3 linked regions of the Zea mays genome follow. Each later gene encodes a partner of the first gene's protein in a complex. Links are inferred from orthologs where the notes say so. Each region holds a gene or a part of one and is shown in the gene's direction. Other genes may lie near its edges. The genes, in order: IDP798, cleavage and polyadenylation specificity factor subunit 3-II and probable cleavage and polyadenylation specificity factor subunit 1.

Region 1 (10,783 bases):
CTGATGTGCTTGCACATTTATGTGTGCGTGTTGTAGGGTGAATGTTCACAAATCCATGTCCATCCAAAGGTGTAGTCTCCATCTTGTTTCAATTTATGTATGTGTGAATGGCTATTGTGCCACATCTTCTATGCCTAAGGTGTAGTCTAGTGTAATCGACGCACTTGCTCATATCTGTTGTTTCTTGTAAGAGGATGGAAATAAGTCTATCTGACGCTGTAAAACCATGTAGCTCCTTATGTCCAAACTTTGGCCTCTTTGTGTAACACCATGCCAATCACAGTGCATTGCCTTGTCGCTGATTTATCCTTTCACCATTCATTTTCCCGCCATTTGTTGTAATACATCTTATAGATGCAAGGATGCACTCCATTTTTCTTTCCAAAATCTACACTCAGCAGTTGAGTACTTGAGTAAAGGAGATACTTCCCATCACTGCAGATGCATACATGTCATTGGTGTCAATATGCTATTTATCGTCGTAGCAAATTGATTGTTAGTTTTCACTTACACTAATAGGCACTGTACATTTTTCAGGGTTGCACCAACTGTAGATGCTGTTCTTTTGTCACATCCTGACATGATGCATCTAGGAGCTTTGCCTTACGCTATGAAACACCTTGGGCTGTCTGCACCAGTTTATGCAACAGAACCCGTGTTTAGGCTTGGCCTTTTGACCATGTATGACCATTTCCTGTCTCGATGGGTAAGCGTCATGGTGCTTGATATTTTCCTAGGGCGTACACTTTTCAACCACTCCTTTAAAATGCCATATAGTCTCCTTCCCTCCCTCCCAATATGCTAAAGAAAACTGGACTTCACTTTGTAGTCTATATTTGTTCAGTGTACCCTTACCTGTTAATCTTTCTTTTGCAGCAAGTTTCAGACTTTGACTTGTTTACTCTAGATGATGTTGATGCTGCATTCCAAAATGTTGTGAGACTGAAGTACTCACAAAATTACCTTCTGAATGGTCAGTAAGGTCATGATGATTGTACCTTAACAATGATATACATTGTTTTAGCATGCTACACTGCATCTGCTCACATAATATCTTTTGATAGATAAAGGTGAAGGAGTTGTTATTGCTCCACATGTGGCTGGGCATCTTTTGGGGGGGACAGTTTGGAAGATTACAAAAGATGGGGAGGATGTTGTGTATGCTGTTGACTTCAACCATCGGAAAGAGAGGTTAGTTTTTCTCTTTTTTTTCAGAATTAATTTAGTGTTTTAGGCATAAAATACCAAAATTGTTGTATTTTCCCAGGCATTTGAATGGCACCGTTCTTGGATCTTTCGTGCGGCCAGCTGTTCTGATAACTGATGCTTACAATGCTTTGAACAACCAAGGCTATAGAAAAAAGCAGGATCAAGATTTCATTGGTACATTACTTGGCACTGTATCTGCTTTTATTATTCTGTTTCTTTAGACTTTTGCAGTTTAAGCAGTATTCCTAAGTTCTAGCATCTGAGTTTTGTCATCTCATGATGAAGTTCATTCTTGTTTTTTATAGAGCTCCAAAATGATGGGGTTTTTACCTTTTATATAGATATGTGATGCATCCTAGCCATGGTGTTGTACCATCGTCTAATGCCATCATCTTTCATGCAGAATCATTAATTAAAGTTCTGGCAACTGGTGGAAGTGTGCTACTTCCTGTTGACACGGCTGGTAGAGTGTTGGAACTTCTTTTGTTATTGGATATGGTAAAAATCTCTGACACTATTGCTGGACTCTGTATTCCTGTTAGTTCAATAATGTGCTATCGTCTTGTTATGTTACAGTACTGGGATGAAAGGCGATTGCAGTACCCTATCTACTTCCTGACAAATGTGTCGACAAGTACCGTTGATTATGTCAAGAGTTTTCTTGAATGGATGGGTGATCAAATTGCAAAATCTTTTGAAAGCAGTAGAGCCAATGCCTTCTTGTTAAAGTATGACCTCAAACATAAGTTCTAACTAAACCTTTCGTTGGTTCTTTTTGTGCTATGTTCACTTACAAATCCTCTTTTAATGCATATAATGAAGTCACAGTTTTATATTTTCTCATCTGAGTTGTTCAGTTATTAGAACTTAGAAGTCTACATTTGACCTGTACTTTTAGCTTTTTTAACCAATTCTGCCCCTCAGATTTTGGATATTTGTATTAAATGAACAGGTTTTCAATAATAAATTGTGGTCCATCTGATCTGATTCTATTATTAACAACCTTTGATGTTCAATGTCGCAGAAAGGTCACGCTGATAATTAACAAAGAAGAGCTTGAGAAATTGGGAGATGCTCCAAAGGTTAGGGTAGCATAATTATCTGTTTCTCTTTCTCTACTATACTGTTGGAACCTTGAACTAAACACTTATTTAGTAGGTGGTTCTGGCATCCATGGCAAGTTTGGAGGTTGGCTTTTCTCATGACATATTTGTGGAGATGGCAAATGAAGCAAGAAATCTAGTGCTCTTTACTGAGAAGGGACAGGTACATTCCTGTGTGTTGCTCTTGTCATCAATCTTCACATGCTCTCACTAGTTAGCAATCTGAAATGACATGCCACAGGAAGTATTTAAGCTCCCGAATTATGACTGCTTGAGTGCTGACAGTGCTTGCCCACACTTAAACAAATTGAATATGATTATGAAGCCTCACTTTGATCAAACTACCATTCTTTTAATCCTAATGTTCTTTCACTTACAAGCATGAGTATCATTATACAACTACCTGATCAGAAAATATTTGCTCTCCAGTTTGGGACACTGGCTCGAATGCTCCAAGTGGACCCACCCCCTAAAGCTTTAAAGGTCACTATGAGCAAGAGGATTCCTTTGGTGGGTAATGAACTAAAGGCTTATGAAGAAGAGCAAGAACGGATAAAAAAAGAGAAATCGCTAAAGGCTAGCCTTGTCAAAGAAGAGGAGCTAAAGGCTTCTCATGGATCAAACACAAAGGCTTCTGAGCCAATGGTCATTGATGCAAGCTCATCTCGAAAATCTGTGAATGGTATAACACGCCTAGATGTTAATCTCTCTCATAACTTACCACACATGCAACCATAAAATATTTTATTGAAATGACTTACATGCAACCTTAAATATGGCATATCTGTCGATAATGAGTTCTAGAGTACACTTGCTGTTTCTTTGATTCAGCTCTACTTTTTTTCTGCTTGCTTCAGACAATGGCTTGATCAAGTTTGATGTCACTCTTCATGATTACTAGTTATATGCCCGTGCGTTGCAACGGGGTGGGGAAGCGGGTGGAACGATGACTAGACTACAAATATAATTATTGTTTATTTCTAAACATCAAAATATGTGTGGTCTGATAGTTAACCTCAATTTTCTAGAGCAGTCGGCTTGAGTTAGAGTGCTCGCTTTGCACTATTTTTTGCGCGCGCTGAGCGTGGGGAGGGTGAAGCCGTGGTAGCAACATGTGCCCATATTAGGTTCTTAATAGAGAGTAGTATAGATAACTATATTGAAGTAGGCAAGACAATGCTTATGCTAACATTTCTGCCGTTCCATTTAGTTTCTACAAACTTATGCTGTAAGGTTTATTTCTATTTGATGTGACATGTTATGTATAGTTGACTATCATTCTTTACTTTGTGACACTACCAGCTTCACATTTTGGTGGGAACAATGATATTCTCATAGATGGATTTGTCCCTCCTTTAACCAGTGTTGCTCCAATGTTTCCCTTCTTTGAAAACACTGCTGAATGGGACGACTTTGGTGAGGTCATCAACCCTGATGATTATATGATGAAACAAGAAGAAATGGATAATACTCTGATGCTTGTAAGTTTGCTTATACACCCATGTGGCCACATGCCTCTTGAGTCTTTAAAGTTGATCATATGTAAATTACCTGTCTGTCAGATATAGTTATTGTTCATAACACTGAGTTGCATTGACTGGAAGATGACGGTGGTTTCATTGGATCAAATTAGCCAACTCTGTGTTTTCCTTTGTGATAACTGAGATGTTTTGAACAGAACTGGAAATACATGAAACTCGGTATAAGACGACCATCAATTGAATTATTTTGGGTTCTGACAAGCATGTATTCTTCAGGGCCCTGGAGATGGATTAGATGGTAGGATCGATGATGGCTCAGCACGCCTGCTTCTTGATTCAACGCCCTCAAAAGTCATTTCCAACGAGATGACTGTAAGTTTTTCCCTCCTTGTTTTCTTTCATTAGTTTCTGCATCAATTGCAGAGCTAGATATATGTCTATATACAGATTGAAATTTTACACGTGCGCCGGTATACTGAACATTTTTTCAGGTTCAAGTGAAATGCTCATTGGTTTATATGGACTTTGAAGGTCGCTCTGATGGGCGTTCTGTAAAATCAATTATTGCTCACGTGGCTCCACTGAAACTTGTATGTGAATTTAATTTGAAATATTCTTTCTTGTGCGTGCATGGTTTAGATTTTACACTTTAAACTAAAGAATGCTACTTTCTGGAGCATATTCTTTCTTTGGCGCACACATACTGTTATACTTCTCCATGGCAAAGATAACCTTTTGAATTCTCCTCAATTCCATTTACTTAAATATCTGTGGTACTGAGTCTGACACCAAAGATGGTAGGGTATGCCATTTCTAAGCATTTTTTGGGATGACATGCCACTGCAAAACTTTATTTAAATTGAAAGTGCCTGCTGCTTGTTTGATTAGTTGGCACAAAATTTGAGTGGCCTGGTACTGTTATCCTTGTGGTTAATGGTTGACCTGTACATAGAAAGTTGTTATCTTATGCTGAATCATGCATTACTTTTTGCAGATCCTGGTGCATGGATCAGCTGAAGCAACTGAACATTTGAAAATGCACTGCGCAAAGAATTTAGATTTGCATGTTTATGCTCCACAGATTGAGGAAACTATTGATGTAACATCAGACTTATGTGCTTATAAGGTTAGCATCTTAACTACACACTCTCTTTAAGTACCGAGTAGAACCTTTGCTTAGGAGGTCATGAAGGTCAGGCAACCTATAATATACTAAATGTGCTACTTATCTGATTGTTGGAACAAATGAGGTAAAATCAAACCCCTGTCATGTACTAATCACTTAAATTTAATTAAGTTATGCAATTCAGTGGTAGAGCCTACTGTCTGTAATCGGAAGGTCCCGGGTTCGAGCCCCAGCCTCTGCATATTATGCGGGTAAGGCTTGGCGCTTAAAGATACACTTCCCTAGACCCCGCACAGTGCGGGAAGTCTACGGCACTGGGTACGCCCTTTTTTTATCAACACTATGGTCTTCTAGTGGGCAGCAATAATACCCTTGTGTATGTGTCATTACCTAGGAGCCTGTGTTCCTGACATAACCGCATCATGCACAGTTGGTATGTTGCATATTGCTTCAACCTTCCATATGCTTAACTTTGTGATGTTTGTGCTATCATATCATATATCTCAGGTACAACTTTCGGAGAAGTTAATGAGTAACATCATTTCTAAGAAGGTACGAGCTATATTTCCCTAAATCATTATCATTCATTCTTTCTGTTGTTATTAACAAGCTCCAAAGAACCTTGTTATGACAATCCAATGGTCTAACTTCTCTTTTGTATAGTTTAGCCCTCAGATCAAACCAATTGGGTTTATTATAGAAAAAAATGCTCATTGCAAAATTCCTTCCATATATGGCATTTGTTGATTTGAGTGTTTCTTGTATTGATTGTTACTGCATGTTCAGTTGCTAGCTCTAAATAATATCGAACCAGTTGCATTGATTATTGAACTTCAAAGGCTTTGCATGCCAAAAAGTTGTCCATACCTATAGATCTTTTAAGGCAAGTAACATGTTTTTCATCCTTGAAACGGTTAGGTTTTAAACACTGTACTTTGTTATATGCACTTACTTGATTACGAATCATTGTTATGAAACCACTAACATTAGCATGATCTGCAGTTGGGTGAGCATGAAATTGCTTGGGTGGATGCAGAAGTTGGAAAAGAAGATGAGAAGCTTATTTTGCTTCCCCCATCGTCAACACCACCACCCCATAAGCCTGTTCTTGTGGGTGATCTAAAGTTGTCTGATTTTAAACAATTTTTGGAAAACAAAGGCTGGCAGGTAGGTTTATTATATTGAATTGTGAGTCTTTGTGTCTTCCTTGGGACCTATATGGCCATTATCCAAACTTGTAGTTTTAGGAGTGGAGATGAATATTTCATTTAGTAGGATTTTTCAGTTGAACGTGAGAGGATCAAATATGTTGAGATTCAGGTGTGATAAGTATGCTGAGAAGAAATTTGTTCTTGAACTTTCACTAGCCGTAGCATACTGCGACATACTAGATGACACTTGTTTCCTGCACATGCTGTTTAGTTCCACATAGCCTATACTCCGTCCTATAAAATAGGCCATATAATTTTTTTGGCACGGTCTTTAAAGTGGAACTTTGACCATTTTTTAAATATGCCATCAATAAATACAAAATGAACACCATATTAAAGTACTTTTGAATATAAATCTAAGTAATATATAATGCATACACTAAAACTATGTATTTTTGGTTGAATTATTAGTCAAAAGTTTTAAAGCATCGACATCTTTAAAAACATGCATGCACAAGCGTTGGTTGATGAAAGGTGCAGCATATGATTTTTGGTTGGATAATATTAAGCAGGCAGGGATAAATAATCTTTGTTGGTGTATACTGAAACCATTGACATAGTCGCTAAGGAAAGAGCTGTTGCAGGTTGAATTTGCCGGAGGTGCTTTACGGTGTGGCGAATACATCATGGTGCGCAAAGTTGGTGATTCTATCCTAAAGGTAGCTTCCGCATCATTTAGTAGCAATACTCCTTTGCGTGTTTTGGCAGAACTTGATATGCTCCAGTTCAAGAACTATGATTTAGAACTTGTTATGTTACATGCATACATGCCTTAGTTTTTTATGACCTGTACCAACAAAATTGCACGAGCATAGTTGATATGGCTTGCCCGGTGGTGTGAGGCTTAACACACTTAGGCCCTTTCTGGATGCAAAGCTTTTTTTTGGAGCTCTAGAAATACCATAGTTTGCAAAATAATTTGGTCCTCAAGCAGCAATATGAAATGTTTGGATTGAAGAATCCTTTTAGTTCTGAAAGTTATGTTGCTTAAAACTGTAGCCTTTTGGAGTTTTTAGAACTCCACTCTGAACCTTGATTTCGCACGTCTAAAAATGCAGTTTGTTGATACCAAACAAGGTATTATACGTCTGTGATGCGATTATTATATATATTGCAGGGCAGCACAGGGTCCCAGCAGATCGTCATCGAGGGCCCCCTCTGCGAGGACTATTACAAGATCAGGGAGCTTCTGTACTCGCAGTTCTACTTGCTGTGAGGCAACGTACGGCAAAGCTTAGGCTTTATTTACATTGGTTATAAATTATTAGATTAGATGTTGACTGTAAGACTATCCTGGTGTTTTCTGTTTTTACATTGTTTGTTTCCCCTTTCACAAGCTTAGGCTTGTGTTGTCCGAAATTTGGCGTGGGATGACCGTGACAAAGTTTTGGCATCAGTTTCCGGATGACCGTGGTTAGTATGCTGAAGCTTGTTTCGTCCTTCATCATTATGGGCATGTGTTCTATATTGATCGTATTGACTCTTTTTGAATTGGTTGAGCATATTTTAAATCTTCTTCCCCTTGATACCTTCTTTCATCAACATCAAAGCTGACTACCAAGTGGTCCAAGAACGATGACAATGCATCCATCCAAAGAAGAACAAAAACAACGACGACAAAGCGTCCACCTATTTTCCACCTAGGGGTGCAATCAATCAGATCGGAGATGGGTAATGCTTGTATCATATTTTCTCTTTAGATTTAGATTAGATATATTTTCTTTTTAGATTTAGATCAGATACGAATATTATTGGTCTATGACCGTAAGATTTGAATGGATATCAATATATCTTAAATACCTATACTCTATGCGGCTATGTTTTTGTTTTTTATGTTCCATTTTAATTTTTATCGATTTTTTTCGTTTGTTTTTATCATTTTTGTCATTCCACTAGTCCCGTTTTCAAAATAAAATGTAAAAATCATAATGGAATAGTTATCTTGATCGATCCCAATTGTTTTCGTCCCTCGAGGCATGCATCCAATTTTCAATCATCTACCTACGCGATATGGCCACCACAACCGCATTACGAAGCACAACAGAAACTGCTTAGCTTTTCAGCATGTTTTTATAAAAATCGTTTTAGTCAAAACCGTCTAAAATTAATATAGACATAGAATTGGTCAAACTGTTTCAATAGTAGGAAATCGTTACTTTCTACGCCATAAACCCTATGTACCATTTTATCTTTCTCCGTACATAATCTCTATGATACTTAGATTATCTCCATAAGCAGATTCTTATGACAGCTAGATTTTGAGAAAAGCTGAACTAAATATGTCCGTATAGGTGACCAGATGGGTCGGACTATATGGGTCAAACGAGACACGATCATTTTGGCACGGTACGGTGCCCGGACCGACACGAGACATGTCATAGGTCGTGCTTGGCTTGGATACAACCGCATAGGGTGGCATGAGCATGACCTATTTACTGTCGGCCTATTTAGCTCGATGTTAAGCATGCATGGCCCATCAAACCGAACACGACCCATTTGTGGCCTAAGCTTACTTGTCTTAATCTAGCCTACCATATATACAAATATGACCAACTCGATCACCCCTTTAGATCTATTTTTGAGTTCTGTTAGAAAAAAATGGAGAAAATGAACAACCAAAAATAGGGGAAAAATAAGTTATTTTCGAGCCCTGTTACGAGACAGATCTTAGGCCACACGACACGATGGCACAACACGATTGACCGACACGGCTCATTTGAAACTAATAGGACCATGATTGAGCTCAGACTTCGGCATACGGGCGGACATGACACGACCCACTATTTATCCATGTCGTGTCTTGGTCTAATTAAATCATCCACGTATACATGTCCAACAAAGTTTGGCCTCACAGTCACAGCCAGCGGCTAGAACGCACGGCCGACCACCATGGCCCTGCTAGGGATGGCAACAGATAAACTATCCGCGAATAATGTCTCTGGACACCCATATCCGCGACTTATATTCGATATCCGAACCCGTACCCGTTACCCGCTACGAATAAAAAATAGTATCCACATCGGGTAACGGATATCCGTGGATATATTCATTTGCCCACTACACATACAACATATTTAAATCCAGCAAATTCAAATATGATAACATATTTGTCCGACAAATTTAAATATGATAAAACTTACAACCATACAGAATTTGTCTAGCAAATCAAATTTGATACATGTATTAAGGCATACAACGAGCAATATAAAATTGTCTAGCAAAATCAAATCTGAATTGTTCAAATTGATAAAATTACAAACACACAAGCCACAAGAATCAACACCAAAGACCAGCTGGTTATTCAGAATCAGCAGCCAACACACAAGATTCTTCTTTCATGTCTTCTTCATTATCTTCAAGGCAAGACCAAAAACTATTGAATCTTCCATCACCAGCACCTAAAATAAAGTCACATGCACATTAGTATCTATATACTTCAAATATAACATATTGGAAAAATGAAGAAAAGTTCACCTTGAAGAGTGTGACGAAGCCAACTTTGACTGCACATCAAAGCTTCCACCATTTTAGGAGTGAGACGACTGCGATAGTCACTTAAAAGCCTGCCACTTGTGCTAAAAGTTGGTTCAGATGCGACTGTGGTGATTGGAATAGCTTAAATGTCTCTAGCAACCAGCCTCAAAGTGGGATAACGAGTTCCCTCCAACTTCCACCAACTAGGGGTTTCCAAATACAAGACTTTAGATGTTGGTGCAAATGTGATGTACCATTTTTTGTGATGCCCGAAAGTTTCTTCTTGCAATGTTTACATTTAGCCTTCCCTACTCCATCAACTTCAACCTGATCAAAATCCTTCCACACATCAGATCTGAGCTTCCTCTTTGATCCTGACGAAGCAGGTATGTCCTCTTGCTCTGATGAGGACTCCACCACCATGGTAGGAGGACCAGTTGTAGAGGCTTGTTGAGTGCCACCACTAGGGGTTTCCATGGTAGCTGTAAGTCATTGAGTTGATAAAAGTAACCAGGATCATGGTATTTCCAATCTGAAAAGCCTATAAGAATCTGAAAAACTACAAGAACCTACAAAGAAACTGGATCTATTGGGCGAGCTGGTGATGTCCTGTGCAGTGCTCGACGTGGTCGCGTGGAGAAGATCGATCAAACCCTAAACCCTGCGCAGTCCTGGCGATGTCCTGCGCGGCTACGCAGTGCTCGACGTGGGGACCGTCGAGCGCCAGACCGTGGTCGTCGTGGCCGCTTGGCCGCCTGGCCAGGTGGCGGCTGGCCGTCGAGGTCTCGAGGAGGGTGGGGGTGGGGACTGGGGACTGGGGTGGTGGCGGCGGCGACAACCGGTAGCCGGTAGCGGTACTGCGGTAGGAGTGGGAGAGATGGAGTGGGCGGCGAAGAGAGGGTACTAGAGCGAGGGCTTCGCTGGATCAACCTAGGCTTGTGGCGACAGGAGTACGGGACTTGGGCAGTTGGGTTGGTTGTGGTCCGTGAAGTGGTTCCAAACTCTAGTGACCCCACATGTCAGGTTACTTTAACGGATATTCAGGTATTCGGGTATGGATACTGATTTTTCGTACCTCTTTTAAAAATATCCACAGATATCAAATGCTACCCGTATCCGTATCCACGGGTATAGGCTCGTACCCAAAACCGTGTCCAACGGTTTTTTTTATCCGTGGGT
Region 2 (11,213 bases), about 9.5 Mb from region 1:
ATTCACCCCCCTCTAGGTGCTCTCAAACTTACGCAGTGGGATCAGTGGAACCATATGGAGGTGAGGAATTCACCCAATTCTTGGGGGAGACACTGCAATATGAGCTGGCGACTCCGACCCTCACAAATGAAATCTGAGGGAAAGATGACCGACTCATCATCTGGCTACAGGAGTACCCCAGGTAACCCTAAATCCCTGATCCTGCTCGGGATGCTTGAGGTTGAGGGAGGTCGTCATTTGTTCTATCAAAAATGTGGAGATGAATGTCATCATGCCAGAGACTATTCTAGGGCTCTATGGCGTGACATCTGTATGAAAGAGACCCATGTAACTGCGAAAAACAGAACAAACCTATTATGCCATTAGTGGGATTGGCAGCGGATGGATTAGGGTTCTATTCTTCTCAGTTTGTAAAGAACATTTCCAAAAAAAATCGAAGAGGAGTCTGCTGGGTTTAGTCAAAATTGTAGAGGGGACGATGTCTACAGGTGATTTGGAGAGTGACTTTAGCTTCCATTTCCCATGGGGCGCCCCTAGAAAACTACTAAGTATCATCTTGGGTTCCTGATGCAATTCCCATCACAGGACAGGCTTAATGAGTTGACCAACTTTACTAAATTGAAGATGAAGATTTCAGGGGTTAAAATTGTAGTAACTTCGTTGACCTCATAGGCTATGGCTAAATCCATATTACATTTAGTTTGGATTAAGGCTGAAAATGTGCTCGAAGAACTGTTGAATTATCAAGCCATACGTGAGATGAGATCAATAATAGGAGCCGTGGAAGAGGTTGATCTGGCCTCTCTGAAAACTAATGACATGGTTAAATTTAAAGTGCATGTGAAGAGCGTCGTAAGGATTTCGCCTGTCATCGAGATAGGGGTCAAGCACCTCTTATATGACATTTATTTCAAGGTGGAAACCGAAGGTTGGAATGAGGAAGAAGCTAGTATGAGAAAGAGATCCTCGGTGGACTTATAGTTGAATGAGTTTGATTTGGGTGACAAGGGAGGAAAAAACCCAAAAGTGACATCCAAAAAAGTGAGAAAGACATCTGATTCCTAAAAATCAGAAAGAATCTGACTCTTATTTTAAAGAAACAATGATCTCTACAGATCTCCCTACCAATGAAATTAACAATCGCAATGAAGAGGGGTAAAATTTGGGGGACAAAATCAATGAGGAGTTAGACTTTGAAGACAGTGACGAAGACCTCCTCTGTTCTCAGGAGCTTAATAACTTTGTGAAAGAAATGGGTGCGGAGATAGCTAATGATCAGGAATTGGAGATGGATGAGGGTGAGATTCTTAAAGATCAAGATGAACAACAAACTGTTAAGGATAACAAAGGTAAAGCTAGATGGGTGGATCAAGCTGAAGACACAAGGAAAAGTAGTAGACCAGAGGCAAATGAAGATATCAGGATTACGGACAAAGGCATCAACAGAGCTGAGCGAAGGATGCCTTCTTGAACAAGGGTAATGATCCCAACCCATCCTCTATCTTAAATTCTGAAAATAGCTTGTTGATTGAAATAGCTAACAAACTTGGAGTGAATTTAGGAAAAGACGATAATGAAATAATAGGTAACTTAGAGACCATCAAGTGCTTAGAAGAAGAACATGGTAGGGCTATTATGCTAGTATCCAGTGCTGATATTAGTGATAAACACGCTAATAATCCTTTGGAGAATGAGGTTCCTTTGATTACGGATAGAATTGTTCAAGAGATGATAGATAGCGAATCGGAAGGGAAAAACACAAAACTCCGAAGAAGAAGAAAATGATACAAAAAGAGAAAAAATATTCTCTGAGGAAAAAAAATGAAGGTTCTCCTAAAATTAGATGCACATCTAATAAAAGGAGGTACCTAAATCAATATCATTAGGATAGTCAATTATCTGAATAAAAAGGGGTAGTATTGAACTGCCAAGGGCTTGCCAAACCCAGGAAATTTGAGTTCATTCATGAACTCATAAATAAAGAAAAAGTTGACTTCATTAGTCTTCAAGAGACCAATAAGAAAGAGTTTGGGTAGTAATATGTTCAAGTGGATCTCTTCTCCCCCTAACGGTAGATCATGGGGCTTGCTGGTGGGTTTTAATTCTGATACTTTTGAAGTTTCTGATATTCAAACCAAAGATTTAATGATAGTGTGTGGTCCATCACAAGATTAAAAATATTTCTTGGACCTTTGTTAATGTTTATGGTGCGGCTCAAGCGGTTAACAAAGATAATTTCCTAAGCGAGTTAGCTCCCACTTGCTCCCAATGTAAGGGTCCCATTTTGCTAGGTGTCGACTTTAACACCTTGAGAAATACTGATGAAAAAACAAGCCTTATGTTGCCAATATATGGTCATTTCTTTTTAATGCCATCATTGACCATCATGGTCTGATTGAGTTAGATCTCACTGACAAGAAGTTTATGTGGTCCAATAACAGAAATCCTCTCACTTTTGAAAAACTTGACAAATTTCTAGTGAGCCCTGAACCCATGATTGGGATTTATTGTACATCAATTCTGGTTAGAGGGATAAACAGAGGATACGACAAAACCTGGCACTACTTTCAGATACGAGTTGCTCTGGCATAAAAAACCTGATTCCAGAGAGTTGGTAAGTAGGAGTTGGGGGTTACCAATAAGGAGTAAAGGAAGTCTTAACATCTGGAAAGAGAAAGTTAAGAGACTCAAAAAATGTCTTAAGGGTTGGAATTTCAATGAAGAAGGCCAAAACATGAGAAGGAGAGAAGATCTTTTGAAGAAAATCAATGAGTTAGACACTAAGAATGAAGAAGGCGAGTTGTCAGATAGTGAAAAAAACTAAAAAAAGACCATGAGCTTTCGCTTAATAAACTTCTCTTCAAGGAAGAGATGAAAATGAAATAGAGAGCTCGAGAGGTTCATCAAAGGAGATAAAATACAAATTATTTTCGCCTTAAAGCCAACCTCAATAGAAGGAGAATCAGAATCCATGTTTTGATAGATAAAGGGAACATTGTTGAAGAGGGAGAGGGAAGATCGAATTGCTACTAACTTCTATAAAAACATGTTTGGTCCCTCCTCTATCTCCTCAATTTGCACGGAAGATAGAAACATGGAAAATATTAGTGAGGAGGACAGATATTTCCTCACTGTCCCTTTTATAGAGACTGAGATTAAATAGGTAGTTGTCAACTTTAAACAATAGTGCCCCAGGGTCTGATGGTCTCCCTGCAGATTTTTTAGACTTCTCGGACAACATAAAAAAGGACATCATGAAGTTTTTCGAAGACTGTTTTCAAAGGAAAACTAGACATTAAAAGATTAAATTACGGTGTTGTCACTTTATTTCCTAAACTAGACAAGGATATGGAAATGAAGAACTTTAGATCCATTTGTCTTTTGAATGTGTGCTATAAAATTATTACAAAAGTCCTTAACAATAGGTTGACAAACAATATCACTAAGGTGATTAGTGATAACCAGTTTGGCTTTATTAAAGGAAGATATATCCTGGATGGAGCTGTGGCCCTCCATGAGATTGTTCATGAAGTAAAAAAGAAAAAACAAGATGGGATCATTTTGAAAATCGATTTCGAAAAGGTGTATGACAAAGCCAATTGACATTTCTTATATAAATGCTTGAGATGAAAGGATTTGATGAGAAGTGGGGAGACAGACCATTAGGATTAATAGCTTAATTGGTCCCATCTTCTTAACCCATAAGGGGGTAAGATAAGGAGATCCTTTATCTCCCTCGTTTTTCCCGAATTTAACCCATATTTGTCCCGTATTTAAGAAATCTAGAATGAGCCTAATATGCATTAGTGCACAAACTAAATCCTCATATTCTTAAGTGAGTGATCATTTTAGCCACCGGTTCTTCTCAATGGCAAGTAGTCTAATGGCTCAAACAACATCGACCGTAGATATATATATACACCATTAACACCCAAACAACAATGAAATATTGTCTCTCTATATCTATTTGTTTCATGTTATTACACTGCTAGTCAGTCATTAATATCATGTATGCTTGTAATAAATTACGAGTTTCTACTTAATATTTTTGCTCCCATTCCGTTTACCCCCTTCCATTTCTGTTGCCGACTATTTCCGATGATAAAATACAGGAATATAAATATGAGAGAGTTTTTTTCGTTCGTTTTCATCTCTGGCAGCGTCACAGAAGAAGGCTACGAGCAAATAGTCTCTCATTATCTCTTATTTATTTTTTATTTTATTAAAAGATGAAATGACATTGTAGCTTTTGTACCAAGTTTTATAATGACATTTGAGTGAGGCCCTTTCGATCGGTGCCAAAGTAACGAAACCTACTTTGTTAATGATACAATCCTAAATTTTTCACTGGTTTGAAAACTTAAATTCCCTTCGATCTTGATCTTGGTTGGGGAAAAAAACCCCGGCCTGCCACCCTACTTCATCCTCGAGTCGACTTGTGCGCCGCCATTCTCCGTCGCCGCGGTCTCGCGGGCCCGCCGCCGTCCTAGCCGCCCTGTCCCCGCCCTCTCCGTCTCGCGCCCCACGCGGCCCTTGTCCATCTTTTCCGTCGCCGGCTCGTGCGGTCCGACGCCTGCCACCGGTTCCTCCTCTCGAGAAAGGCGGCGGCGCCCGAGAGAGCTTCTTTGAGGGAGGATAAGGCGGCGCGGAGCGTCTCTGAGCGGCTCAGGCCCCTCCGGCGCTGAGCTTTCCTCCGGCGTTGTGTGTGCCTGAGTTGTTGACTCCCAATTGAAGCGTGGTCAAATTACCTCGGCTCCGGTATGGGTTGGAGCTCTTTATGGGTTGCTAAAGCGTTTAGAGTGTGGCTCTAGGCGTGGATTTTCACCAATGGCAATCGAGTGCCTCGTGCTAGGTACGCGGCAGCGCGCTCCTCTTTTCACCCTTTTTCGAACGCACTGCTCGGTTACAACCATGCTAGCGCTGGTGATTGCAGGGGCGGGGCAGGAGGTGGGTAAGAGCTGCGTGGTGGTGACCATCGGCGGGAAGCGCGTCATGTTCGACTGCGGCATGCACATGGGCTACCACGACGACCGCCACTACCCGGACTTTGCGCGCGCGCTCGCTGCCTGGGGGGCGCCCGACTTCACCACCGCTATCTCCTGCGTGGTCATCACGCATTTGTGCGTTGCAGATAAACATTTTAGCTTTTCATCCTTTTTCTTTTTATGCTGGCAATTTTCTTCAGATTCTCGCGTTTGGTTGGGGGCTGAGGAAGCTTGTGCTGTGCAGCCACATGGATCATATCGGGGCACTGCCCTACTTCACCGAGGTTTGCGGCTACCACGGCCCCATCTACATGACGGTGAGCTATGAACACATGATTATTGTTTGTGTTACTATGGCCAACGAAAATTGTATTAACAAAAGTTGCTTCACGAAAATTTAACCCCCAATTGCAAATTCTTTATAACCTTGTGTATATAAAATCTTCATAATTATTTTCATGGTCACAAAATCATAAGTTACTTGCCAATAGGAAATTACAATTAATGGTGAAGCACAAAATCTAGTAGCATGTTGAGTTCAAAATTGATCCAGAAAGCGTTGTAAGCCATAGAAACCATAAATCCAGGTTAATTTAAAGCCCATCATAGTAGAATGAATCTTGGGTTTAGCAAACGCAAAGACATGTCTCTTAGATGAAATCAGCTGTAAGTGTAAAAATGCAATATGCAAGCATAGTCACCCTTTGCAATATCTGAGTAACTTCCTGGAGCACATTGAAATTGACTGAGCCATACTCGGGCATGAAACTAAGGCACCAAGCTAGTTTCGGATCAAGGCATGCTGAAGTTTTGTGCTCCAGTTGAGTCTGGATGGTGTTCAATTTAACAACAAGCAAGTTGTGGTAGGCTAGAGTTGAAATTCAACATAAACCACAAGTCAAGGTTTAGATACATAGATAGCCGTTTTCCATGCACTCCTATTCAAGGTTAAATCTTTGGTATATTTCATTTTTTCAAGTCTCATTTTACTGTCTCCTCCCATATAAACTTTGGCCTTCTCCTACCTATCTTTCCATTGCTATCGTGCCTTAGAATCCTACTATGTACTGGTGTTTCTGGAGGTTTTCGTTGGACATATCCAAACCATCTCAACCGATGTTGGACAAACTTTTATTCAATTGGTGCCACCCCTAGCCTATCACGTATATCATTCTCTTGGACTCGATCCCTTCTTATATAGCCATAAATCCAACGCAATATACATATTTTTGCAACACTTATCCGTTGAATATATTGTCTTTTTAGGCCAACGTTCTACACCATACAACATAGCAAGTCTAATTGCCGTCCTATAAAACTTGTCTTCTAGCTTCGGTGGTACCCTCTTGTCATATAGAACGCCAAATGCTTGTTACCACTTCATCCACCTGCTTTGATTCTATGGTTGATATCTTCATCAATATCCCCGTCTCTCTGTAACATTGATCATAAATACGAAAGATATCCTTTCTGGCACTACCTAACCTTCCAAACTCACATCTCCTTCATGGCATTCAATTGCATTGACTTTATTTTTAACCTAGAAGCTAGAATGGTACATTCAAACAATCACTCAAAACTTACAAATGTGTGATATCAAAACCCAGTTACAAAATCACCTGCGAAATCATATGGCCAACATTGCCATATCAATGGGTATATATCATTTGGGCTGGATAGTAAGGGTAGAGTACAGCCCTAGTATCTGGGAAGTGCTGTATTTTTGTTATTACCAATTGCATAGAACTGACTGCACTATAAATCTGTCAAGGAAGAATGCATCAACCCCCTGGCACCACGACTATATTTCTCTGACCAAGCAACTGATACCTACTTTTAGGAAGAGAAGCTTGGGAATCGTATGTATGTGTATAACTCCATCTACATATCTAAGACTATGTCCAGAACCGTGTATTTTCAAGAACTATGGTATATATCTGCATCTACATATACGGATATATGAAGAACCAAATATTCCATAACCATGAATATAATGAAGCAATTTTGATGCAGTTGAATTTAATCCATAGAAAAAAAACTATTTTTTTGCACCTGATTGTCTTCTAAATTGGCTAAACATGCTCTGCACAACATTTGAAATCATTTAAAGGCAGAGAAATCTGAAAAAACATATCAAACCAACTCTAATTAAAGGCACAATATCTATAGCGAGAAACTAACTCTGAAAAACTAACTCTTGGGCTCTTGGCTGCATCTAAATTAGACAAACAGATTCGCATCAATCACTAAGGCCTCAAATTCAAATCACGCAGCATGACTCTTCTATGGTCTGATGGGAAGCAAACTATTAGGAGTGGGCCAGGAAAACAAAGAAGAAAACACATATATGGCCTTCCTTCGCAGGGAAAATGGTGGTCTCTTAACCGTCTTGGCAGCAAGTGCTAGATCCTGCCTTATTACTCTTCATTTATCCATCGAGGAGCAAGAAACTATAACTTGATTGAAGGCAATAATTAAATCAAACGACACTCAATATGGAGAGAATAATGTATGAAATGAATGCGGAGGATTGCAGGCCTGCCTTACTTCTGTGAATGCCCATCACAACACTTCCCTTCCTATTCATGTCCCTTCATTCTGTATTGGGCCATCAAGAGGTCAGGGTTTCTGCATTAGGTGATTAACATGAGGAGATTGAGTGAAATAGTGGGAGGCAGGGCTGTGAACAGGGGGTGGTTGATCAGGTCCGCAGAGTGGTACAACTCAATGAAAGGGTTGGTGAGCAGGGCAGCACTTGTTTGCGTACATGGCTGTGCCTTATCGGAGCATGAAGGGAGGGATGACAGCTGTGTGGTAGAGGCAGTGTTAAAAAGCATCGCCCAGGCGTCCAGACACCAAAAAAGACTGAGAGTCGGCGTTGCCTTGCCCCAGATTGACAGGGCATCCACCTTGGCGTGCTGGGCGTCGCATTTGACCGCCTGGCGGGCGCCTGAAGCCCCAAAAACCTGGGCGAGGGGCCTGCCCCTTTTGGCGCGTGTTGCCTTGCATGCGTGCGGGAAGAGAAAGGAAGGAATAGATAAGGAAGGGATAGATTAGGGAGGAGAAGAGAGAGAGAGAGAGGCACTGAGGACCGACGACGTGGCACTCTTCGTATGATCCCTGGCTGCTTCGTGTCCCTGAGGACCGGCAACGGTGTGGGCACGACATCCAGACGGGCATGGCACGATGTCAAGGCGGGCGCGTGTGCGGCATCGGACACAGGCGTGGCATAGTGCGGCCGGCGCGGCCACGACATAGGGTGCCAACGCGGGCACAACAAATGGTGGCCGGCGCAGGCACAACAAATGGTGGCCGGCGCAGGCACGGCAACAGGCACCCGGAGTGGGCGCGTCACCAATCACCATTGCGAGCGTGGTCCTGCCTTCGAGGTCGTCCTCCCCTGCTTCAATCTCCGCTGGCCCCTGCTTCAATCTCTGCTGGCCCCTGCTTCAATCTCCCCTTGGTCCCTGCTTCAATCCCCCGGTCCCTGCTTTAATTCTCTCCTGGTCTCTTCAATATTAGTTGGCTTGTATGGTGTCGCCTAGGCTGTCGCCTAATTCGCCTAGGTGTCCAGGCGGTGGCTGAACGCCTAGTTCCACCTTCCCGCCTTTAAAACCATGGGTAGATGGGTAGTGGATCTGTTGCATGGAAGTCATATGCAACAAGCACCTTAATGCTTGCGGAGGAGGATGTGTGCGGTGGTGGTCCAGTGGGGTTGACACAATGCAGTAATTGTCGAATGAGAAGATGCTGTGGATGGATCGGCTGCATGGACAGTCTGTTTGGTGGCAGTGTGATGCAGACAAATCAGCTAGAATGGCGGCTCAGGATGGCAGGCTGGCAGATTGGGGGTTGGGGCACGGGAGAGAGAGGTATAGGTGGTAAAAAATTGGATGCTGAGAAAAAAAAACAGAGCAGGTGGTCGCGAACTCACGATCGCTGGGACAATAAAGTAGAGGGTGAGCGAAGTGGGGTAGGATCTGAGTTACTGCATACTTTTGAAGTAGTAGAGATATATAGAATGTGCTTATTGTTATCTAAACTTGGCTTCAAGTAAATCCTGGATTGATTGGGTTGTTTAAAGTTGGGATTGTCCTGCTTCTGATCCAAGAAGTATGCTTGGGCGGAATGGTCTTGCATTATTAGCTTATATGCTTGTGCTGCTATCTTCCTTGGTCTCCCCACTTCTTATATGAAGCATCTATATGTCTGATGATTGATGGTCATTCCATAACTTATGTCATGTTACCTCAAGCAGTATCCAACAAAGGCTTTAGCTCCATTTATGCTCGAGGATTATCGGAAAGTAACGATGGGTCAGAGAGGTGAGGAAAAGCAATATAGCTACGAAGATATTCTTAGGTGTATGAAGAAAGGTAATGTTAGTTCAGTTTGAAACTTCTAGTACCTGTCTACTTAGACACTGATGCTGGTGCAAAAGTAAGTTTGTATCATAATCCTCTTGTAATACTTGATCTTTCAGTCACACCAATGGACTTGAAGCAGACTGTTCAAGTAGATAAAGACCTTGTGATCCGTGCCTATTATGCTGGACATGTAAGTTTCTTACACTGTTTTTCAATTTTCATTCAACATTCTGCTCAGTGTTCTTTAAATACTTTGCATTTAAGTATTGATTTAGCTCTCTACTTTCTAATCTAGTAAAACCATTGTCAATCTCAAGGTTATAGGGGCTGCCATGATTTATGCAAAAGTTGGGGATGCTGCTATGGTATACACTGGGGATTACAATATGACACCAGATAGACATCTTGGGGCCGCACAGATTGATCGTCTGAAGTTGGATGTATTGATAACAGAGTATGGTCTAACCTCAAACTATAAACATTTCTGTTTTGCGGTTGCCTTTACTTGGATTTTCAATCTAGTGTTGTTGTGATTTATGCCACATTATATCCATAGGTTATTTCTTATGGTTTCGCAGCACAGGTTTTATGGGGCAGAGGAGGACCCCGGCTATGTATATGGCAGTCAATAGTCATTCTGTAGAGGGTCAATCATATTCACCTTGGCACCCTATATTTGGGAATAGTGAGGGAGGGAGAGAGATTATTTTGTTGCCTAAGTCCCACCGATTACATCTGCTCAGTTGATAAACACCAAGTTCAACAATCTCCTGCTTCCAAGCACTAACAAATCAACCACTAACAAGTCAAAGCAATCCTGGAACTGACTAATAAACTGACCAAAACTCCAAACCAACTGAAACGGAAGACCTTGCCACTTGTCAAGCAGCTGTTGCCGGCTTGCTGCAGTCTCAGGCGTGTTACTGCTGTGCTCATGCCATGCCTGCACTGCTCTTCTTGGAGAGCCTGCTGCAGTGCTTGCTCTGCATAACAGCAGGGACTAAAGGGCATGTTTTACCTATTTGACTTATCATTGTGTGATCGTCTTAGTTGATATCAGATTTTGGGAATATTTTCCTGACCACCTGTGGACCTTTGCTCAGCTCCTGTTGTTAGCCAATCTTTGTTCTCCTGAATATTGTTTGAGTTATGGTTGTAAATTACCTATATAATTTGTTATTACACTTGCTACTCAGTTGAATCTACTAGTTTATAATGCTGCGATAATCAACCAACCTGCCTTTGTTGCATAGTGCCATAGTTGTAGTGGCTTCCTAACTTTTCACTGTTATATTTGAATTAAGAGCATCAATTGTTGCAAATGATTTTTTCCCTGTATACATAACCAATTAACTACTTTTTTATTCAGGTCCACATATGCTAAATCTATACGTGACTCAAAGCCTGCCCGAGAGAGGGAGTTTTTAAAAGCGGTATGAAAATCTGAACTTTGCTGCAGCCTGCAGTGTATATATTTGTAGATTTTCGTAATCAATGCTTTTCCGATGGTGTACTACTCTATTTTCTAGGTTTTGGATCCTATGTGCTCAATATTATTTGGGCACACAACACAGTTCACTAAGTGTATCTATATTTTTTATTCCTGATGTTTTCGTCCAAGAAGATGCACTCTGACTGTATTAAACCAATCTTCTGAAGTGTACACAGTTGATTTTACTTCCAAAGCATAACTGAGTATATGTTTCCTCTAGGTACATAAATGTGTTTCTGGTGGAGGTAAAGTTCTAATTCCAACGTTTGCTCTGGGAAGAGCTCAGGTATTGTAGTTCTCTTAATTCTACTTTATGAGACAAAGTGATGGTTAAGTGTGATAACTATATATGACTTAAATGAGCAAGTT
Region 3 (11,113 bases), on another chromosome or scaffold:
TAGTAATCGGGGAAATTTGGAGCTGCTCAATTCAGCCTACATCATTCTAATACCCAAAAAAGATGAAGTATGCCATGTTAAGGATTTTCGGACCATAAGCTTGGTCCACTCCTTTGCTAAGCTCATCATTAAGCTTTTGGCAAATAGGCTGGCTGGACACCTTGATAATATAGTGTCTCAGAATCAAAGTGCATTTATTAAAGGCAGATCCATGCTGGACAACTTTATGCTTGTGCAACAGACAACCAAAATGCTTCACCAGAAAAAATGTGCAAGGATCCTCCTTAAGTTGGATATCACCAAAGCTTTTGATTCTGTCTCGTGGCTCTTCCTCTTAGAGGTCTTGAAGCATTTGGGTTTTGGGCAAATGTGGTGTGATATTGTTAGCATTCTTCTTGCTTCTGCTTCTCAAGTAATGCTTAATGGTATGGATGTATTGTGCTACTTAATTAAGAAGGCTGCTGCTGATGGATTGCTGGAGCCTCTAACAGAAAATTCAGATCATAACCGTATTTCTCTTTATGATGATGATGTGGTGATCTTGCTCCACCCGGTGGCATTTGATTTAGAAATCACCATGGACATACTCAGGTTTTTTTGGTGAGGCATCTGGGCTCAAAACAAATATGGCAAAGAGCAGTGTTTTCCCCATCCACTGTGTTGTTGAAAAACTTGATACCATACGTAACCTGCTGCCATGCGATGTTGCCAACTTCCCCTGCAAATACTTGGGGGTGCCTCTATCCTTAAAAAAGCTTGATAAACTGCACCTCCAAACGTTCATTGATAAAATTGCAAATCGTCTACCCTGCTGGAAAGCCGATCTGCTGACTAGAGCTGGAAGATTGATTCTTGTCTAGACTATTCTGTCCTCAATGACTATTTACTTAAAGATGGCCATCAACCTTCCTTCGTGTGTTATCAAAGCAATTGACAAAATTAGAAGAAAATTCCTGTGGAGAGGGAGGAAAGAAGCTATGGGAGGACATTGTTTGGTAGCTTGAAACAAGGTCACTAGACCAAAAGAATTTGGAGGATTGGGTATCTTAAACCTACATATGATGAGTTGGGCTCTTAGATTGCGCTGGCTCTGGCTGAAAAAACTGATACTGGCAGGCCTTGGACATCCTTTAAAATAAATGCTCACCCTTCGGTTAAGGCCTTCTTCTCGGAATCGGTTTCTTCGGTGGTGGGTAACGTTAAAACACCTTGTTTTGGACAGATAAATGGATCGATGGCCAGAGTCCAAAGTCAGCTGGCCCCTCATCTGGTCAAGTTGGTCTCTTCTAGGGCTAAAAAGAGGAGTGTCCACGATGCCTTCACTTCAAGGAACTGGGTGCAGGACATAAGAGGAGCTATCACTGTAAATATTTTGTCTGATTTCGTCAATGTTTGGGACCTCACTGCAGATTGGGCCCTATACCCGGATCAAGAGGATAAGCATATCCGGCTGCTTTCAAGCTCACGGTCGCTGCTGGACAACAGACCGTCTAGCAAAGAAAGGACTGCCTCACCCTCAATTCTGTCCCCTGTGTGATCAAGAGGAAGAGACGCTAAACCATTTGTTAGTCTCCTGCGTTTTGTCTCGGGAAGTTTGGTTTCAGATTATGAAATCTGTCGGGTTGCAGCACCTTGCTTCTAACCTTGAGAACTCTTCCTTTGAGGATTGGTGGGAAGGAGTTGACGTAGTTTCTGTTGATTCAGCATATAATGGGCTGCACAAGGGCTTGAATTCTTTGATCATACTTGGAGCTTGGGCCATCTGGAATCACCGCAACCGTTGTGTATTTAATGGTGTGCAACCTAGTTCCAGCATGGTCATCAATTGGGTCAAGGAGGAGTCTCACCTCTGGTGTAGGGTTGGAACCAGTGATTTATCCAGCATCCTTATGCTCCAGTGAACCAATCAGTAATCTTTATTTTGGAGTCTCCATGGTCATGGATCTAGCTGTTTTTTATTGTTATTATTCTACCTATAATCTAGTGTATGTGGGTTTGTGTAGAGTTGTATGAGGTTTCTTTTACCTCACCTATTCTTATTAATATAATGATACACAACTCTCCTACGTTTTCGAAAAAAATGCTCCCTGAACGCTAGTTTAAACTCTGCCCACGTGATAAGATGACCTTCATGCTGAATGTCTACGAAGTTTGCCCACCATGTACTAGCGGGGCCTCACATTTGTTGAGCAGCAAACATGGGCTTTTGAGTCTCTGTACATCGGATCAGTCCAAATTTTTGTTCCATCACACGGACCCATTCATCCGCCTCTAGAGATTCTTCTGCTTTAATAAAGACATGGGGACGAGTTTGTGAGAATTCCATTCTTCTGCTTTAATAAAGACAGGGGACGAGTTTCTGAGAATTCCATATAAGTAGTGTCTCTTGGAGCTTTATTTTGGCCTCGACCTCCTTGCTGGTGGATCTGGTTTCCTGCCATCTCCCGGAGAAACCGGGTATTGTCAGCAGTAGCGTTAAGCAGGGCAGCAATGGCCTCCGCCAAAGTTGGAGGTACAGGCGGTGGGATTGGGGTCTCCTCCCCACTACCCCAAGAAGTCCCTACCCCATCATGACCACGGGTCCTTGTCGACATCTGGAGAAGAAAAACACGCTTTATTATTACACAGTACAGTTACACAACATTTGTTACATTATTCCATGCTCTTACTTATTATACATACTCAGTCCATACAAACCCACTCTCCTTATTAGGTCTAAGCAAGGAAACAACCCACTACTATACTAGTCTAGTTCTCCGCATTCTTGGTCGCTCCAGATCCGCTACTAGCTTCAGGAGGGCGTACATCCACGATGTTCATAGAAGGAGGGGCTCCAAAGATGTTCAACTCTCCATAGGGTCCTCCTTCACCTGCTCCCGCTGCGCCAACACCCATTTCTGCAACTTCGGGTGGCACATTTGGATGTAGCTGGTCATATAACTCATGCACCTGCAGGTTTTCCAAGGCTAGACTTAACTCATCCACCCGGGCTCGGGTAGTCGCATCACGATCTTAGGCTATGGATCGCGAATTCACAACCCAGTCCATAGCCTGATCACGCTCTACAATCTTCCGCTGCAGACGTTCTACTTCTCCTGACAACTCAGCGATGCGGCAACTAGCACGCACGCGCCCCCTACCTCCATGGCGCAACTCCGTTGTCAGACGCTCGACTCTAGCCTCCAAGTCTCCTGTGGGATCATTACTCTCACTGCTGCTCCCCTCATGATGAGGAGCCAACTGATGTCGGGGCACACCCTGAGGTCCAGTCGCTTTTCGAAGGGTGGTCTTTGTGCGTGCCATGTCTCTATAAAATGGGAGAACACTTAGTATTATTTAAACATGATGCATGCATGATCCTACGATCATGGAATCAACTACTTATTGATCCTCTACTCCCTACATATAACCTAGTAATATGCACTCTTTTGCCCGACTACTTAATGAAAGAATATTCAGAGGTAAGTAGTTTTAAAAAACCTTTTGAAGCACTAAGTAATGTCCTAAGAAATGGGCGCCGCTCCGATACTAGCTGTCACGGAACCTCCCAAGATATTAGGCCCACCTACAGCTGTACTTGTCCCTAGGACCTTAGGCAGTCATATAGATGCACCCAATAGCTTGACAGGGCCTGGTTCCTGCATCTTCTTCAACATCTTCCAAGAGCGTACATCTCATATCACAGATATTACACAACCTCAGAGTAAAAGTGGAAAGAGTTACAATAACATAATTTACATTAGCCGGTACTTATTCTTGACATTACACATCCCGACCACGTTGCAGTTCGCAGACATCTTCACCTAGGGGTTGTCGTCGAGTGTATTCACTGAGTTTCGATCCAGTCTCAACATCTGTACAGTATAGAGTTGAGACTACAGGGGGTGTTAGAATCCCGTTTAGTGTTTTGGCTTGAGTCCTCTTGTAATTACCTGACTATCCCTGTGTAATTGGCTTGGCCCAACTACTTGGACTATTTAATGCACTCTCAACCCTGATTAGGGTTAGGGTTTCCCATAGGCACGGAGGCTGTATGGGGCTGTTGAGCAAGCCCAAGGATACCCTGGCTGCACCAGTCTGGCTGCTGCTGTCGAGGCCATGACTGTGCTGCTGCTGGCCTCGCAGAGCACCAACGCAGACCCATGGTCTGGAGAGTGTGGAAAGTGTAGTTGCGCTGCTTGCTCCCCTGGTGCTGCTGGTCATGCTGACCACTCCCACCAGTGTTCACGCCACCCTTCTTGTTGTGGCGGTTGGAGTTCTGCTGACCGCCCTGACCCTTGGTCTAGAAATACTAAAAAGAATCTGCCATGAGAGTTCCCAAATGCTGAAGATAGAGCTTTGCAATCATGTGCTTTCATGCAGTTGAATTTAAAACATATGTGTGGAACTGTGCACTAATCTATTGGGTTCTATGTTTGTGGAAGTTTAAGTATCTCTTTATTCAGTATTAACCTGCTAATCTCAATGAAATTTAGACATGATTAGCTTCTGGTGCAGATGGGAAGTTCACGTATTACACCAAAAAATGGTTTCACACAAACATACTAGATGCTTTCCCTAGATCCTGAGAATTCGTCTACTGTTAAATAGAAGACATGCTAGTCAATTCAATCTAGATTCTTTATTAAGTGATCTGTCGTGCAAAATTTGTGACCATTGCCTTTGCCATCAGTGTTTTAAGGCATCGTCTAGGCGTCCAGGCGCTCGTATAATTCTAGTGCCTTGCTCGCCTTGCCTGCCTAGGCGTTAAGGCGGTGGTCTAGCTCCTCACCTCGCCTTACCGCCTCAAGAACACTGTTTGCCATTGCCAATTGCTTGAAACTTGATTACATGTTATACTTTTTGATGCAGATCCTTCAACCTGTACTATTTCTATAAATGCTCCTGCCATATTCGCAAGCTCAAGTGAGCGGATATCAGCATGTACACTATACTGTGACAGAGGACCTGAGCCATGGCTTAGAAAGACCCATACTGATGCATGGTTATCCACTGATGTTGGAGAGGCTATTGATGATAATGACAATTCTTCTCACGACCTGTCTGATATATATTGCATAATTTGTTATGAAAGCGGTAAACTGGAAATTTTTGAAGTACCCAGTTTTAAACGTGTGTTCTCTGTGGATAATTTTGTTTCTGGACCAGCTATCTTGTTTGATGTGTTTTCTCGTAATTCTACTAAGGATTCTGGAATAGGGGATCGAGATGCTTCTAAAGTTTCTGTGAAGAAAGAGGAAGCAGCAAACATTAAGATAGTTGAGCTTGCAATGCATAGATGGTCTGGGCAGTTCAGCCGGCCATTCCTCTTTGGATTATTGAATGATGGGACATTGTTGTGTTATCACGCATATTATTTTGAAGGCTCAGAAAGCAATGTGCAATGTGCTCCTTTCTCACCTCATGGTGGTTCACCGGATATTGGCAATGCCACTGATTCAAGACTCAGAAATTTGAGATTTTGTCGAGTTTCAATAGATATCTCATCACGAGATGACATATCATGTCTTGTACGACCAAGAATAACAATTTTCAACAATGTTGGAGGTTACGAGGGATTATTTCTTGGTGGCCCAAGGCCAACCTGGGTTTTTGTTTGTCGACAGCGATTTCGGGTGCATCCACAGGTATGCAAAATGCTATGCTCTCTCTTTCCTCTATCAGACATCTTATAATGTTCTCTCAATATACTTACATGGCTAGGAAACAATGACATTCTTTTGTTGAGTATTTCGTACCTAACCTATTCAGTTACTCTGCTGAATTGTTCTTTTATTCTAAAAATCTGAAGACATAAAAAAATTCTCTTTTGGTTTTTAAATGGATGTTTTCAACTATTCTTATTATTTGTTTTCTGTCATGTGGTCTATCCTGATGACCCATCCTCTTAGGCTTCTTCCACTGAACATAATGCTAAATTGGTCAGAATTTGTAGTTTATTTTCTCAGTTTCAAATGCCTATGATAGGGTACATATAACGCATATGAATACTGTTAGAAAGTGCAGCAGGGCCTGTCGCCTGGCATATCTGCCGGCCGGCCTGTATGGATGTATTGGCATAGATATAGCTAGAGATATGTCAGGCGACAGGCCCTGCTAAGACTTCCATACAGGCCGGCCAGCAGATATGCCAGGCGACAGGCCCTGCTGCACTTTCTAATAAATACTACTAGTGGAGTTGGGTGTGTCTCTTTAGGTTATAGAGAAATGGCACTTACATACAACTTCAACCATTGTTCTATTTTTCTTCTTCTATAAGCAGTTAAATTTTGCAGTTATGCGACGGTCCAATTGTAGCCTTTACTGTTCTCCACAATGTCAATTGTTGCCGTGGCCTTATTTATGTGACATCTCAGGTAAACTGCCATTTGTATTCCTTTTGCAACATGATACTTTCTATTCTTCTTTGTGTTTGTCCACATCACACAGTTGCACTTACCAAGGAAGTACGAGTTCCAATGTGAAATGACCACCCTTGCCCCTATAAACTAGCACAATATTATTAATTCTTTCAAATGGTGGGAGTTTAAGCGTTGCAATAACTAGAATTTTATTTTTTTGCGGAATGCAATCAGCAGAAAACATTGTGAAATATACAAATATGGTTACCTGGTGTTTATATACTTATATTGCATCCTGCAAAAAATATTATATTGCTTTTGTTTTGGAATTTGAAGTTATGAATTATGGGTTCAGGGTTTTCTGAAGATATGTCAGTTGCCATCTGCATATAACTATGACAACTACTGGCCTGTTCAAAAGGTAAAGTTAATCTTCATGTCCACATGCTTTACCTTAACATTATTTGCAGCATTGTTTTTCTTATACAAAAGTTTTTTATTGCACATCTGTAGGTCCCCTTGCATGGCACTCCACATCAGGTCACATATTATGGAGAGCAGTCACTTTATCCGCTTATTGTGTCAGTTCCTGTAAGTACTGTATACTGTGTTTGTTTTTGTAAGTACTAAGGGCGGGCCTGGTGCAGCGGTAGAGCCTACCGTCTGTAACCGGAAGGTCCCGGGTTCGAGCCCCAGCCTCTGCATATTATGCGGGTAAGGTTTGGCGCTTAAAGATACCCTTCCCCAGACCCCGCATAGTGCGGGAAGCCTACGGCACTGGGTACGCCCTTATGTACTGCCTTATGCTCTTACTATTGTTTACTTACTAATGTACTGATTTTTTATTGTGTTTGTAAGGATTATCTATGTACAGATAGATTTCTATAGTTTAAGGTTTTTTGTTTCATTTACTGCAGCAGGTTCGCCCCTTAAATCAAGTTCTTTCTTCTATGGCTGATCAAGAATTGGGTCTGCACATGGAGAACGATGTTACAAGTGGTGGTGACCTCCAAGAGGTCTATACTGTTGATGAATTTGAAGTTCGTATTATGGAGTTGGGAAAATCCAATGGACGTTGGGAGACAAGGTCCACCATTCCGATGCAATCATTTGAAAACGCTTTAACAGTGCGCATCGTTACCTTGCAAGTATGTATGTCTTCTACACTTGTATGGATACTGCACTCAAACTAAAATTTTATTTACCAGAATATTATTGATTTTCGCCTCAGAACACATCTACGAAGGAAAATGAAACCCTGATGGCCATTGGAACTGCTTATGTTCAAGGGGAGGATGTTGCTGCTAGAGGACGGGTGCTTCTGTTCTCTTTCAGTAAAAGTGAAAATTCTCAAAATCTGGTGAGCATTATTGGACTTCTTTGGATAAAAATTTCTTAGTTTCCTACTGGCATTTCAACTAACACTCTTTATCTGGTTACCTGTTAATTTGTTTCAGGTTACCGAAGTCTACTCAAAAGAGAGCAAAGGTGCTGTATCTGCTGTTGCCGCTCTTCAAGGTCATCTACTGATAGCTTCTGGTCCTAAGATCACACTGAATAAATGGACTGGCTCTGAATTGACTGCCGTTGCATTCTATGATGCACCATTGCATGTTGTGAGCCTGAACATTGTAAGTATTGTAAATACTCTTTATTTATATGTGGTGCACGAAGGGGCTTTCATTTGAGTTGGTTAGGTGGTCTGAGTAGCACTCAGATCCTGAGTTCGAATCCCAGTGGGAGCAAATTTCAGACTGAGGTTAAAAAAGGTCACTCGCTGGTTCCTTTAGTTGTGTGCACACATGGTGGACTGACCTATGGGGGGGGATCCTCGTGTAGGGGTTGGAAGGGTTCAAAGCATGAGTACCAATCTGACTTGTAGGGGGCACATCCTCATGCTGCACGGGGGTAGCTTTCGTGACCTTTCTTGGTCGAGGCTCCGATTGAGGTTCTTAATATAGGGGGTGTTTGGGACTACTTTGCTCCACCAACTCTAACTCTGCTCTACCAACTCCATCATAGAGCAGCTCTTCTCTAGAATTGAACAATATTTTGATGTGTTTGGCTTGTAACTCAACTCCATCTCTAGAAAATTGAGCTTTTATTAAAAAATGTCTTTGTTATTCTTACGCTGATGTTGTATTTAAGATTTTTTTTTCAAGTATAAAAATATTATAATGCAACATGTAGGCGATTTACAGGTTGGATATTGATCGATTTCAAGTATAATTTTTTTGTAAGCTATTGTTTTTCTCGAAAAGCGCAGGAGAACTGCACTCCAATATATTATATCAGAAGGGAAGGGGAAAGAACCCCAGATACAAAAACCCTCCTTACAGAGGATGGAATTGGTGAGGCGTTCAGAGGTTAGCTTGTGGTGGAAGATCCACTTGCCGGTGACCACGTTGGTGCCTGGTGGAAACGGCACCAGGTCCTAAGTGTGGTTGGCCAGCAGGGTCACGTACTCCTCCATGGTGCGACGCTAGTGAGGCTCGGCGCGAACGGAGGATGGAATTGGTGAGGCGTTCGGAGGTGCGTCGAACGTCAGGACCAATCGCTCGACGAGGCGGAGAACGCCGGCCGCCCGACGAGTCACCATCGGGTGAATGTGGCTGGGTTCACGGTGGATGGCTACCGGGTGGTACACCAACGGCTTAGTGTGGGAATGAGCCGGAGGGGTAGCGGTGACCGAAGTAGTGGGCCGCTCGCGACTGTGGTAGACGATGGTGGGGTCGTCGAAGCGAGCCAGGCGAGGGCAGACGACGGGGCCGCACCGCTCGTCGACGGGGTCACACGTGGCGTGGGTAGGGGTGCGAGCGGTGGTGTCTTGGCTGTGTGTGGCACTGGTAGAGGCACGAGCCGGGGCATCTGGATCGCGCGTGGCGTGGGTAGAGGCGTGAGAGGTGTCTGAATCGGGAGGGGCCGTGGTGGAGGGACAGGATCAGACTGATGGAGGGAGTCGAGATCGGCAGGTGGGGAGGAGCCAGCAAGGGGAAAAACATCTTTGTCAAAAACAACGTGACAAGAGATGAGGATGCGTTGGGATAGCAAGCACAACCGAAAACATGAAGGTGGTCATAGGAGGAGGCGGCTGTGCATATAGGGCAAAGTGGTGAGTGGGGTGGCTCACCGCCTTCGAGGGGAGGCGATTGAGGACATGGCTCACCGCCTAGTGGTGGTGCGAATGATGCGTTCGGCCAGGCCATTATTGGGAGAGATGTAAGGGCATGAGAGACGCAACTGAACGCCGTGGGAGAGAAAGAATTAGCAAGAGGCGGAGTTGTTGAACTCGCGGCCATTGTCACACTGGAGGGCATGGACCGGGCCACGAAACCAGGTGGAGGCCCAGGCGAAGAAGTGGGTGTGAGTGGTGAACGTGTCGGACTTCAACCGAAGCTAGAAAGTCCATAGAAAATGAGAGAAATCATCCAAAATCACCAAGTAGTATTTATATTTAGAAAGACAGTACAAGAGAAGCCCAGAGATCACAATGAAGATCAAAAGCCTGCTCAGCCCGAGCGGAAGCAGTAAATGGGAGACGAGTATGGCGACCTAACTGACAAGCATGACAAAGACCCTCAAAATGCCCGCTACTACATGGAATATCTAAACTACTGGTGAGATTGGTCATGACGTCGGTCCTGGGTGGCCGAGACGACGATGCCAAGTGGTAGAGGAGATGGTGGAGGCCAGGATGGGTGGGGAGGACGCGCCGGTAGAGGGGCCCCGAGATGTCACATCGTGCGAGAGGGTCCTGGTGGCTAGATCCTTCACAAAGAAACCAAAAGCGTCAAACTCAATGGAATAAGAATTTTCGGCGGTGAACCGACGAACGGAAAGAAGGTTGTGAGTAATATGTGGAGCTACGAGAACACTCTTGAGATAGAACGGTCCTTGGAGAACCGAGGCACCTATTGAGGTGACCGGGAGAGTGGAACTGTTCCAAACAACGATCGAGGAGGGATGGGAAGAGAGGGGGATGGGAGCGAGAAAGCGTACCCGCGGTGGAGGTGGTGTGGTAGGATGCACCAGAGTCAACCACCTATTCGGAGGGGAGTGGTGTCATCACCATGGTGCTGAAAGCAGCGATGAGGGAGGCTGAGTCGCACCCTCCAGTCAGCGGGGACCAAGATGTCGGGGTGGGGGTCCTCAGAGGCGGGAACGAGGGCAGAGCCGGAGTCGTCGGAGGCACGCCATAGGGGGACACCGTCAGGAGGGCCGGCGTAGGAGGACGAGGCAGGGAGGCACCCGGGGCCTGGCTCGGCCACATGGAGAACAACGGCCACGCTCGGCCGCCACCCTGACTGGAGGGACCACTTCGGGTGGAGCAACCCTTGCGGAGACGACACCTCCGTCGGTGGTGGGAGCCAGACGAGGGGCCGCAGGGACGACAAGGGGAGGGTGGATAGGAGCCCCGGTTGACGAAGGGCGAAGGGCCTGACCCCCCGCAGGTGCATGACCACCGGGAAGCTTGCTGTAGAGAGTGGGCGCGAGTGTCTCAGTCTCCATGGTGAGCTCCTCGAGGAGAAGCTTGTTGCGAACGGCGTGGAAGGTGGGGAAGGTAGCAGTTCTCTTGATGAGAGCCTTCAGGTGGCCGTAGCGGGGGGCTGAGGCCACGCAGAAGGTTCAACACCAAGGTACGGTCGGCGACGGGCTCGTCGAGGCCGTGGAGAGAATCCACCATGCCTTTCATCTGGCGACAATACTCACCCACGGAGAGACCCCTCTGTGTAGAAGCAACCTTGATCCACATACGGGGGTCCACTGAATAC

The links.
Region 2: IDP798 (region 1) and cleavage and polyadenylation specificity factor subunit 3-II share a complex: the UniProt entries of both Arabidopsis thaliana proteins name them as parts of the CPSF complex. The link is inferred for Zea mays from reciprocal best matches to the Arabidopsis thaliana genes CPSF100 and CPSF73-II.
Region 3: IDP798 (region 1) and probable cleavage and polyadenylation specificity factor subunit 1 share a complex: the UniProt entries of both Arabidopsis thaliana proteins name them as parts of the CPSF complex. The link is inferred for Zea mays from reciprocal best matches to the Arabidopsis thaliana genes CPSF100 and CPSF160.

Annotation. Positions count from the first base shown.
Region 1 is NC_050098.1:233,403,619-233,414,401, reverse strand, and holds the end of IDP798 (Cleavage and polyadenylation specificity factor subunit 2), read left to right. Parts: intron 1-537; coding exon 538-706; intron 707-876; coding exon 877-973; intron 974-1,064; coding exon 1,065-1,191; intron 1,192-1,267; coding exon 1,268-1,383; intron 1,384-1,612; coding exon 1,613-1,707; intron 1,708-1,785; coding exon 1,786-1,937; intron 1,938-2,233; coding exon 2,234-2,291; intron 2,292-2,367; coding exon 2,368-2,475; intron 2,476-2,741; coding exon 2,742-2,994; intron 2,995-3,614; coding exon 3,615-3,793; intron 3,794-4,069; coding exon 4,070-4,165; intron 4,166-4,284; coding exon 4,285-4,383; intron 4,384-4,787; coding exon 4,788-4,919; intron 4,920-5,426; coding exon 5,427-5,471; intron 5,472-5,921; coding exon 5,922-6,086; intron 6,087-6,714; coding exon 6,715-6,789; intron 6,790-7,247; coding exon 7,248-7,346; 3' UTR 7,347-7,599; downstream 7,600-10,783. UniProt on the Arabidopsis thaliana protein: CPSF plays a key role in pre-mRNA 3'-end formation, recognizing the AAUAAA signal sequence and interacting with poly(A)polymerase and other factors to bring about cleavage and poly(A) addition. Required for antisense-RNA-mediated gene silencing.
Region 2 is NC_050098.1:223,886,021-223,897,233, reverse strand, and holds the start of cleavage and polyadenylation specificity factor subunit 3-II, read left to right. Parts: upstream 1-4,273; 5' UTR 4,274-4,827; coding exon 4,828-4,852; intron 4,853-4,933; coding exon 4,934-5,120; intron 5,121-5,229; coding exon 5,230-5,302; intron 5,303-9,243; coding exon 9,244-9,361; intron 9,362-9,468; coding exon 9,469-9,542; intron 9,543-9,669; coding exon 9,670-9,806; intron 9,807-10,721; coding exon 10,722-10,785; intron 10,786-11,064; coding exon 11,065-11,130; intron 11,131-11,213. UniProt on the Arabidopsis thaliana protein: Component of the cleavage and polyadenylation specificity factor (CPSF) complex that play a key role in pre-mRNA 3'-end formation, recognizing the AAUAAA signal sequence and interacting with poly(A) polymerase and other factors to bring about cleavage and poly(A) addition.
Region 3 is NC_050097.1:87,239,519-87,250,631, reverse strand, and holds part of probable cleavage and polyadenylation specificity factor subunit 1, read left to right. Parts: intron 1-4,851; coding exon 4,852-5,627; intron 5,628-6,275; coding exon 6,276-6,356; intron 6,357-6,696; coding exon 6,697-6,762; intron 6,763-6,854; coding exon 6,855-6,932; intron 6,933-7,258; coding exon 7,259-7,489; intron 7,490-7,572; coding exon 7,573-7,701; intron 7,702-7,798; coding exon 7,799-7,972; intron 7,973-11,113. UniProt on the Arabidopsis thaliana protein: CPSF plays a key role in pre-mRNA 3'-end formation, recognizing the AAUAAA signal sequence and interacting with poly(A)polymerase and other factors to bring about cleavage and poly(A) addition.